Linked DNA regions of Mus musculus. The protein of the gene in region 1 binds, or shares a complex with, the protein of each later gene. Links are inferred from orthologs where the notes say so. Each region holds a gene or a part of one and is shown in the gene's direction. Other genes may lie near its edges. The genes, in order: Ercc2 and Polr2c.

Region 1 (4,242 bases):
CAAAAAGAAAAGGGACTGGAGCTCAGTGATTAAGAGCACTGACTGCTCTTCCAAAGGTCCTGAATTCAAATCCCAGCAACCACATGGTGGCTCACAACCATCAGTAATGAGATTGGATACCCCCTTCTGGTATATCTGAAAACAGCTACAATGTACTTATATATAACAAATAAATCTTAAAAAAAAAAAGAAAGAAAAGAAAGGATGAAATGAAGGGAGGAAGGACTAAAAGGTGATATTTGAGCAAGAATCCAGAGATATGAAATAACTGACAGCATTGTCCAGCCCTCAGGTGGGTTAGCCACAAGCTGGGGCCAGCCACCCAGGCTATAGAGTGAGCTCCGGACCAGCTTGGGTTACATAGTACGACTGTCTACTGAGGCCTGTACCTCATGAGATGGCTCATGAGGTACAGGCCTTTTGACCTGAGTTCGATTCCCACACATAGTGGAAGGAAAGGACTGAACCAAATTCTGCAGGTTTCCTCTTCCTTCCACAGGCCAGAGGTATTGGATTCCATGGAGCTAGCCCTAAAGGTGATCGATCATAAGCTGCCTGATTTGGGGGGTGGGAGTGGAGAGTGGGGCGGCTGGGAACCCTGCTCCTCTTCAAAATCAGAAAGTGCTTTTAACTACTGAGTGATTCCTCCAGGCCCTTAATTAATGAAGTTTTGTTTGTTTGTGACCTATGCTTTAACGTCTGAGCCATCTTTCCAACCCATATTAATAAATGCTTAAAAACACGTGCTAGGCAGGGCAGTGGTGGGAAGCAGAGGCAGGTGGATTTCTGAGTTCGAGGCCAGCCTGTACTACAGAGTGAGTTCCAGGACAGCCAGGGCTACACAGAGAAACCTTGTCTCGAAAAAACAAACAAAAAAACAAAAAAAAACACCCGAAAAACAAAAAAATCAAGACGGTCTCCAATTTCTCTGTTATTCTCTCTTAAACACTATTTTCACGACTTGGACAACCAGAACAGAACCTGGAGGAGCGAAGCAGCAATGAACTCTATCGATTCTCTCGACTCTCTTCTTTCTGTGTTCTGCTCGAAGTCCTCGGCGATCCTCAGCGATGCCTCGGGCACCACTTCTCTCCGAAGTCCGCCCTCTCACCGCCATGCGCACGCGCCAATTTTCCGATTGGCAGAGTGACGGGAGGACTCGGCCAATGGCGTCCCGAGGAAGGTGTGTCTCTGGGTCACGCCCCCTCGTTGAATATTCAGGAGCGGGCGTGTGGACGCCGCGATCAGCCGCCATGAAGTGAGATGGGGTCTCTGAAAGAGCGGGCGGCTCTGCGGTGGGCAATGGGGCGGCGGGTGGGCGTCGCCGGGGCTGGGGCGCGGCGTGGAGAGGCTGCGGAGACCGGTCCGGGTGGCTTCGGGGTCCCTGGCGGCGAGACGCCACGAGGGCGGGCGGGCGGGCGGAGCGGAGGCCGAGGCGGCTCGAGAGCACCGGGCACCGACGCCTCACCGCCGCCAGGCTCAACGTGGACGGGCTGCTGGTCTACTTCCCGTACGACTACATCTACCCGGAGCAGTTCTCCTACATGCTGGAGCTCAAGCGCACGCTGGACGCCAAGGTGGGTGGCGAGGCTGCCCTCCTTGCATTCTGATGCCTCTGGCAGGCAAACGTCCTGGTCGGGGCCCGGGCCTTGCTATCCCAGCACCCGGAAGACCCAGGCAGGAGCATCGCTGCGATTTTGGAGGCCAGCCGGGGCTACACAGCGAGACCGTGTACTAACAACAATTGTAAATAACAAGGCGAGGAATGTCGCTCAGTTGGTAGGGTGCTAGCCTAGCTAGCAGGGGTGAAACTCTGGGTTCCATCCTGGCACCGCATAAACTGACTGATAGTAATTACAATTATGCCTGTAATTCTAGAGACAGGGTGGCTGAGGACAGATTGCTCGAGTTTGAAGTACAGTCTGGGTTTCATAGTGAGTTTCGGGCTAGCTAGGGCTATGTATAGGAAAACTCTGGAGGTATTCCTGGTAGTGACAATAGTGGAGGGAAGAAGGGGTTCCGTATGTGGAGGTCAGAGGACAACTTTGTGGAGTTGGGTTTTTCCTTCCACTTCTATTTCGGTTTTGTTTTGTTGTAGATTTATTTGTTTTATGTATGTGAGTACACTGTAGCTGTACAGATGGTTGTGAGCCTTCATGTGGTTGCTGGGATTTGAACTCAGGACCTCTGGAAGAGCAAGCAGCCAGTGCTCTTAACTGCTCAGCCATCTCTCCAGTCCCTCGTTGTGTTTTCTGAGACAGGGTTTCTCTGTGTGATTTTTGCTGTCCTGGAACTTGTTTCATAGACCAGGCAGGCCTCAAAGTCCCAAAAGATCCACCTGCCTCTGCCTCCTGAGTGCTGTGATTAAAGGCATAGGCCAACACCACCCAGATTTCTTATCATTTTATGTGGGTTCTAGGGATCAAATTCAGGCTGTTAGGTTTGATAGCAATCGCCTTTACCTGCTGAGCTATTTCAACAGCCCTGAACACAAACTTTTTAAAAAAAGTTTTCTTTTAGGTATACTTATTTCCAATGTGTGTATACATGCTACAGTGTGCACGTGAGGGTAGAGTTGGTTCTTTCCTTCCGTGTATGTCTTGGGGATTGAACTCGGGTGATCAGGCTTGGCCACAAGCACCTTTACCCGCTAAGCCATATTGCTGGCCCACCAATGTATTAGCCCTCACAACCTTGTTCCAAGTAAGGTTTATGGAGCTACTTAGAAGCAAGAATGCTGTGATCCTGAGAGGTAAAAGGTTCCTACTGTCTGCTGCTCAGTAAACTCATTAGCTGTGTCAGTAAGAGGGCCACAGAAATAGGGTTCAGCCTGCAGTCCCAGTACTCAAAGTAGAGGCAACAGGATTGCCAAAAGTTCAAAGCCAGCCAGAGATTCTTAGTAACTACTAGGCCTGCATAGCAAGATCCTTTGGGGTAGGCGGGTGAGGAATAAGAATTAACAATTAAAAGTCCAGCAGAAGAGGAGGAGCGGAGACTATCAGTCCTGGGGCCTTGACAGCGATGCCACTGCTGTGTGTGTTGCCTTGCTGTTCCCGGGTGGTGGCATGTCAAGGAGAGTTCCCCAGAGCGTACGTTGATGACAGAGAGCCTGTGTCTTACTACTTCTGTGCCCAATTTTCAGGGTCATGGAGTCCTGGAGATGCCCTCGGGCACTGGGAAGACAGTGTCCCTATTGGCCCTGATTGTGGCCTATCAGCGGGTGAGTGGCCTTCTGAGTGCCTGGAGTGGGGGCTGAGGGGTGGGGCTGGATGGGGCTGAGGTCCCTGTCACCCACAGGCTTATCCGCTGGAGGTGACCAAACTTATCTACTGCTCACGGACCGTGCCAGAGATTGAGAAGGTGGGCAATGCAGATGGGACCCATGCTCTGCCCCCTCCCCTGGGCCTTGGTGGTCCCCCATCTCTGCCCTCGGTAGCCCGGTGGGCAAGGACTTGTGCTTGCCCTGTGGTCCCCACCTAATGCTCCCATCATCTGAGCAGGTCATAGAAGAGCTTCGTAAGCTACTCAGCTTCTACGAGCAGCAGGAGGGCGAGAAGCTGCCGTTCTTAGGACTGGCTCTGAGCTCAAGAAAGAACCTGTGCATTCATCCCGAGGTGAGCCCTGCGCTGTCACCCTGGGCCACTCCATGCAAGCCCCAGAGGGAACCCGTTGTCAGTATGAGTGGGGCTTGCTGCTCAGTTGTTAGGCCAATGCTCATCCTTATGGCTAAGGGTAGCACCTGTACCAGGATCAGAAACTGCTTACATTCCACATGGCACCTCAGACTCACACATTTGACCTGTGACAGGTCAAAATCTAAATGGTAGCTTACTCAAAGGATTGGGTATTTTTATATACAGGCAAAATAAGATAATTTCATGACAGCCTCACGTCCTGCCTGACAGTATCCATTATGTTCATGCCGGTATTCCACAACCCACACACATCAGGGAACCAAAGCCCTGCTGAGCCAAGTGCTTGCAGAGAAAGGCCACTCAGGGATCGTTGTTTTCTGTTTGGGGTTTTTTTGTTTGTTTGGAGAGAAATTGAGGCACTTGTTTTTTAAAACCTTACATGTTTGTGTGTATGTGTGTGCACGTGGCGGTCAGAGGACAGCTTTGGGAGTCTGTTCTCTCTTCACTGTGTGGTCCCAGGTTGAAATCAGGCTGTCGGGCTTGGCGGTAGACATCCGCATTCACTGAACCATCCAGCTGGCCCTCTGCTTGGCTGGTTCTCTGTGAT
Region 2 (4,522 bases), on another chromosome or scaffold:
GGAGAGCATTGTATCTACTTCAGAAGAACATCACACGATCAAGAGTAGAAGGGAAAGTGTGTATCGTCTAACACATATGGACATTGTTGAGTATACGTTGGGGACCTTTGAGGTGGCTCAGTGGGTAAGAGCACTTGCAGTCAGGCCTGGCATCCTTCCACACACGTGATGTATTGGTACCATTACATACATACACATATAAAATAGAAATACATTTAAAAAAAAATTTTAAAAAAAGCCAGGCGTGGTGGCACACACCTTTAATCCCAGCACTTGGGAGGCAGAGGCAGAGGCAGGCGGATTTCTGAGTTCGAGGCCAGCCTGGTCTACAAAGTGAGTTCCAGGACAGCCAGAGCTATACAGAGAAACCCTGTCTTGAAAAACAAAAACAAAAACAAACAAACAAAAAAACATGGGTTTTGTTTTTCTTGTGTATGCATTACAGTACTCTCTCTGACATTAGCTCGGATGTGGGTCTCTTGTTTGCTTCTTTGTGTGTTATCTAACTGTCCTGAGAGCATCCAGGGGATTCTTCTCTCCATCTTCCTACTCACAGGAGCCTAAGATTAGACTCTTGCATTACCATGCCTCTTTACAGGTGTTCTGAGAATTTGACCTTGTGTCCTTGCACATCAGGGTTTGGCTTCGCACCCTGGAACAAGTGACTGAGGTGCATATTTTACCCGTCAAAGCAGACCTGGCCTCCAGGTTCTCCCAGCATCCTTCAGTCCCCACCTGGCATGCTCTGCCTCCACCCTGAACTTTCCAGCCCAGAGGCTGGGCTGCCCTTCCCCAAGAGGTTCTTCCCTATAGAATCCAGACATTTTGCTCTTGCTCTCTGGATCGATCTATCTCCCTCCCCCTGCCCCAGGCCCTTTCTCTTCTCCCTCTCTGCCCTTCCCATGGCGGTTCCCCGGCCTCTGTTCTTAAGGCCAGTGAACTCACCTGAGAGCAGCTTCCCAATAAACCTGCCTTTTAATATATTCTAATCTGTCTTGAATTGGCTCATTTTACCAGCAGAGAAATAACCTATCAGTCGTCTTGCATGCTTGAGTCACCTCCCTAGCCATTTTGTTCATGTATAGATGTACAACTTTTTAATGGTTTTTTTTAAGGTTTCATTGTATTCCTATGTATTTTAAAAATTATTTTTATGTATAAGGATGTTTTGCTTGCATGTATATTTGTGCACCATGTGAATACCTGGTGCCCTCAGATACCAGGAGAGAGTTTCCTCAGAAACTGAAGCTAAAGATGTTAGGCATCATATGGGTGCTGGGAATACAATCCAAGTCTTACATAAGAACAGCCAGTGCTCTTATCCCCAATGCCGTATCTCCAGCCCCGTATGTAAGTTTAACCAAGTCTCTATCGATCATTGCCTAATGCGTTATTTTTAGCAGTTATAAATAACGTTGGCATGAATGACCCTGTACATTTAATTTTTGTGCTGTATATCTTGGGGATTTCAAGAGTATAGGACCAATGCATTTTGGCGCCGGTGTGGTTAGAAAACACAGGCCAGGAGAGTTCCGGCCTCCGGTCAGCAGGTGGCGCTGCGCCCGCGACTAGCCGGAAGCGCCGATTGCCCCGCCGACAAACTGCTGGTGGCCGCGCAGGCGCGCTGTGCGGCTGGCGCGGGAGCCTGGCGGAGGGTCGCGATGCCGTACGCCAACCAGCCAACAGTGCGGATCACGGAACTCACCGAAGAGAACGTCAAGTTCATTATCGAGAACACGGACCTGGCGTAAGGCGGCGAGGGGAGAGGCGGGCGGGCGGCCGGGTCCTCGAGCTCCTGACCCCGGGGCTGTGGCTTCGGGGCCGCTCACACCGCCTGTCTTTCCTCCTGTAGGGTGGCCAATTCCATTCGGAGGGTCTTCATCGCAGAGGTGCCCATAATAGGTAAGCGACCGTCCCTGGGAGCCCGTGCCGCCCACCCTCCGCCCGGGGTGGGGGCTGAGAACACTGCGGTGCTGTACGCTGGGCTGGGGCAGCCTAGGCCCGCCTTGGTGCGTGCCTTGCTCAGCTGCGGGTTTCCCAGTACTGTTCGTCTACCCCAAAGCAACAGAAATCAAAACCAAGCACTGTTAAACAGCGGAGGGCTGCAGCCTCCTCATCCGGGCGGTGTAGATGCTAGGCGTCGTTAGCAGGTGATGCAGCGATTGCCGAAGTAGTGTAGATGATGCGCTTTTGCTTTGACGTCAGTGTTCGCTACTGGCTGGTGTCTTTTGAACATATATGCTGATTTTACAAAATCATGGGCTTCGTTATGTAGTTTGAAATCTACACACACAGAGTGTACCTGGTCTCTCCCATCCTTCCAGATAGTACCCTGCTATACTTTCTTGTCGTCTCCCCCTATCTTTTTGAAAACCTTTATTTACATATATGTGTCTATCTCTGGGCTCGAGTACCGGAGTTCATGTGTAGAGGTCAGAGTACAGCTTGTAGGAGGGATTCTCTTCTCCCACCATATGGGGCCCAGGATTGAACTCCTTAAGGCTTGACAACAAAAAGTATCTTGCACATCTTGCAGGCTCCGAACTTTCTCTTTATTAAAGAGAGAAAGAGAAAAAGAGAGAGATTCCACATGAGAGAAAGCATGTGTTATAAAGATTTTCTAATTTTGTTTGTTTGTTTGTTTTTCAAGACAGGGTTTCTCTGTGTAGCCCTGGCTGTCCTGGAACTCACTTTGTAGACCAGGCTGGCCTGGAACTCAGAAATCTGCCTGCCTCTGCCTCTGCCTCCCAAGAGCTGGGATTAAAGGCGTGCACCACCACTGCCCGGCTTAAGATTTTCTTTAACAAACAACATACTTTTGTTCCTTATTGTTGAAGTGTGTGTGTGTGTGTGTGTGTGTGTGTGAGAGAGAGACAGACAGACAGACAGACTTCGGTTTTTTGTTTTTTTAAATCCATCCTGGTGTCTTTTTAAAAATGAATTTCTTATTTCTGCTGCATATGTAAATCATGTACGTTTTCAGTTAGAGACAAGACATGAGCAAACATAACAAGGCAAAATATGACACCTTCAGGAGAATCTGACCAGTTTTATCGTTTGTTTGTTTGTTTGTTTTGAGAGAGGAAGGAGGCCAAAAGGGAGTGGAGCGTTTGTAAACATGGACACTCGAGGTTTTCTGAGATGGGGAATTCCCACCAGGGGTCGGGGAATGGGAATGGTGGAAGTAGATTAAGGGCATTCAATGGGCCCCAGAAGTAAATCATCAGGAAGCTTGGTCCTTGCTTGAGTTGAGGAAGCACTGCGGTGAAGGGCAGGTTGGGCCTATCCTCAGCTGGTCTTCCGGCCTCTTCCTGGCCTACATCAGCTCCTTGAGAACTGGGTTTCCAACACCACTGATTTCTGAACATTATTGTTTACATGCAGGTGTTTGCTGATGGGTGACTAGACACATGCTTAAGTGCAGCATCTGTATGCTACAGCCCCATTTGCCCAGCAGTGCCTGGGGGGGGATTGGGTTCTATTGTTAGTGGGCTTTCCCTGGTGAAGCTGTCCAGTGAACATCTACTGATGAGAGGAACACTGAAATTCCAAGTGGGCTATCTGGTTATATCACAAACGAGGTGTGGGCCCTGAAACTTGGGATGTTTTGCTGTTGTGATGTTTTCCCTGACTTTTAAGTTTTTAAAATTGTGTCTCTGTGTGTGGGTGTTTACCAGTGAATGCAGGGGCTGGAGGTGGCCAGGGGTCTCAGATGCCCCTGGAGTTGGAGTTACAGGGGTTGTGAGCTGCCTGACATGGGTGCCAGGAACCTCAGAACTGCGGAGCCATCCCTCCAGCCCATGGTGTCCAGATAGCTTTCGTTCTTGGGTTTGGGATTGGCACAGGTAGCAGATTTAAAGTAATCCTTAGATAAGTATTCAACTCCTTAAATATCCCAAAAAGCTCTAAGAGAGAGTATGTGCATGCATGTGTGGTGTATCACTAGCAAGGCCCATCCCCCACTGGGGCAGGAAGGTGTTATGTATGGCGTGTGGGATGCCTGAACCTGGAGCCATCACTTTGAAGTCACTTTGAGCCTCTTGCAGCCTGGTCAGGACACCTTCAACTTTGTAAGCTGAATTGATGCTTGCTTGCTTGCTTGCTTGCTTTTTTTTTTTTTTTTTTTTTTTTAATTTTTGTTTTTGTTTGGTTGGGTTTTGTTTGTTTGTTTTGTTTTTTGAGACAATGTTTCTCTGTGTAGCCCTGGCTGTCCTGGAACTCACTTTGTAGACCAGGCGCTGGCTCTGCTCCCTGAGCGCCGGGCAGAGTGGAGACAGTGCTGCTGCAGGTCTGTAGATGTGTCTGGTGACTAGTCCTCACTTACCCTGTTTTGTTGCTGCCTTTTCCAGCCATCGACTGGGTTCAGATTGACGCCAACTCCTCGGTCCTTCATGATGAATTCATCGCGCACAGGCTTGGTGAGTGCTGGTGTTGAGGTGGACCGGATCAAATGGGACGCTCCCTGTCCCCAGCCTGCGTGACCTCCTTGAGGCTCTTGTGATGGTTTGGCTGTTGGCTGTTC

What was found.
Region 2: Ercc2 (region 1) and Polr2c share a complex: the UniProt entries of both Homo sapiens proteins name them as parts of the TBP-based Pol II pre-initiation complex. The link is inferred for Mus musculus from reciprocal best matches to the Homo sapiens genes ERCC2 and POLR2C.

The regions. Positions count from the first base shown.
Region 1 is NC_000073.6:19,380,802-19,385,043, forward strand, and holds the start of Ercc2 (general transcription and DNA repair factor IIH helicase subunit XPD), read left to right. Parts: upstream 1-1,215; 5' UTR 1,216-1,253; coding exon 1,254-1,258; intron 1,259-1,477; coding exon 1,478-1,577; intron 1,578-3,142; coding exon 3,143-3,220; intron 3,221-3,297; coding exon 3,298-3,360; intron 3,361-3,500; coding exon 3,501-3,614; intron 3,615-4,242. UniProt on the Homo sapiens protein: ATP-dependent 5'-3' DNA helicase. Component of the general transcription and DNA repair factor IIH (TFIIH) core complex, not absolutely essential for minimal transcription in vitro.
Region 2 is NC_000074.6:94,855,895-94,860,416, forward strand, and holds the start of Polr2c (DNA-directed RNA polymerase II subunit RPB3), read left to right. Parts: upstream 1-1,555; 5' UTR 1,556-1,661; coding exon 1,662-1,747; intron 1,748-1,852; coding exon 1,853-1,902; intron 1,903-4,349; coding exon 4,350-4,418; intron 4,419-4,522. UniProt on the Homo sapiens protein: Core component of RNA polymerase II (Pol II), a DNA-dependent RNA polymerase which synthesizes mRNA precursors and many functional non-coding RNAs using the four ribonucleoside triphosphates as substrates.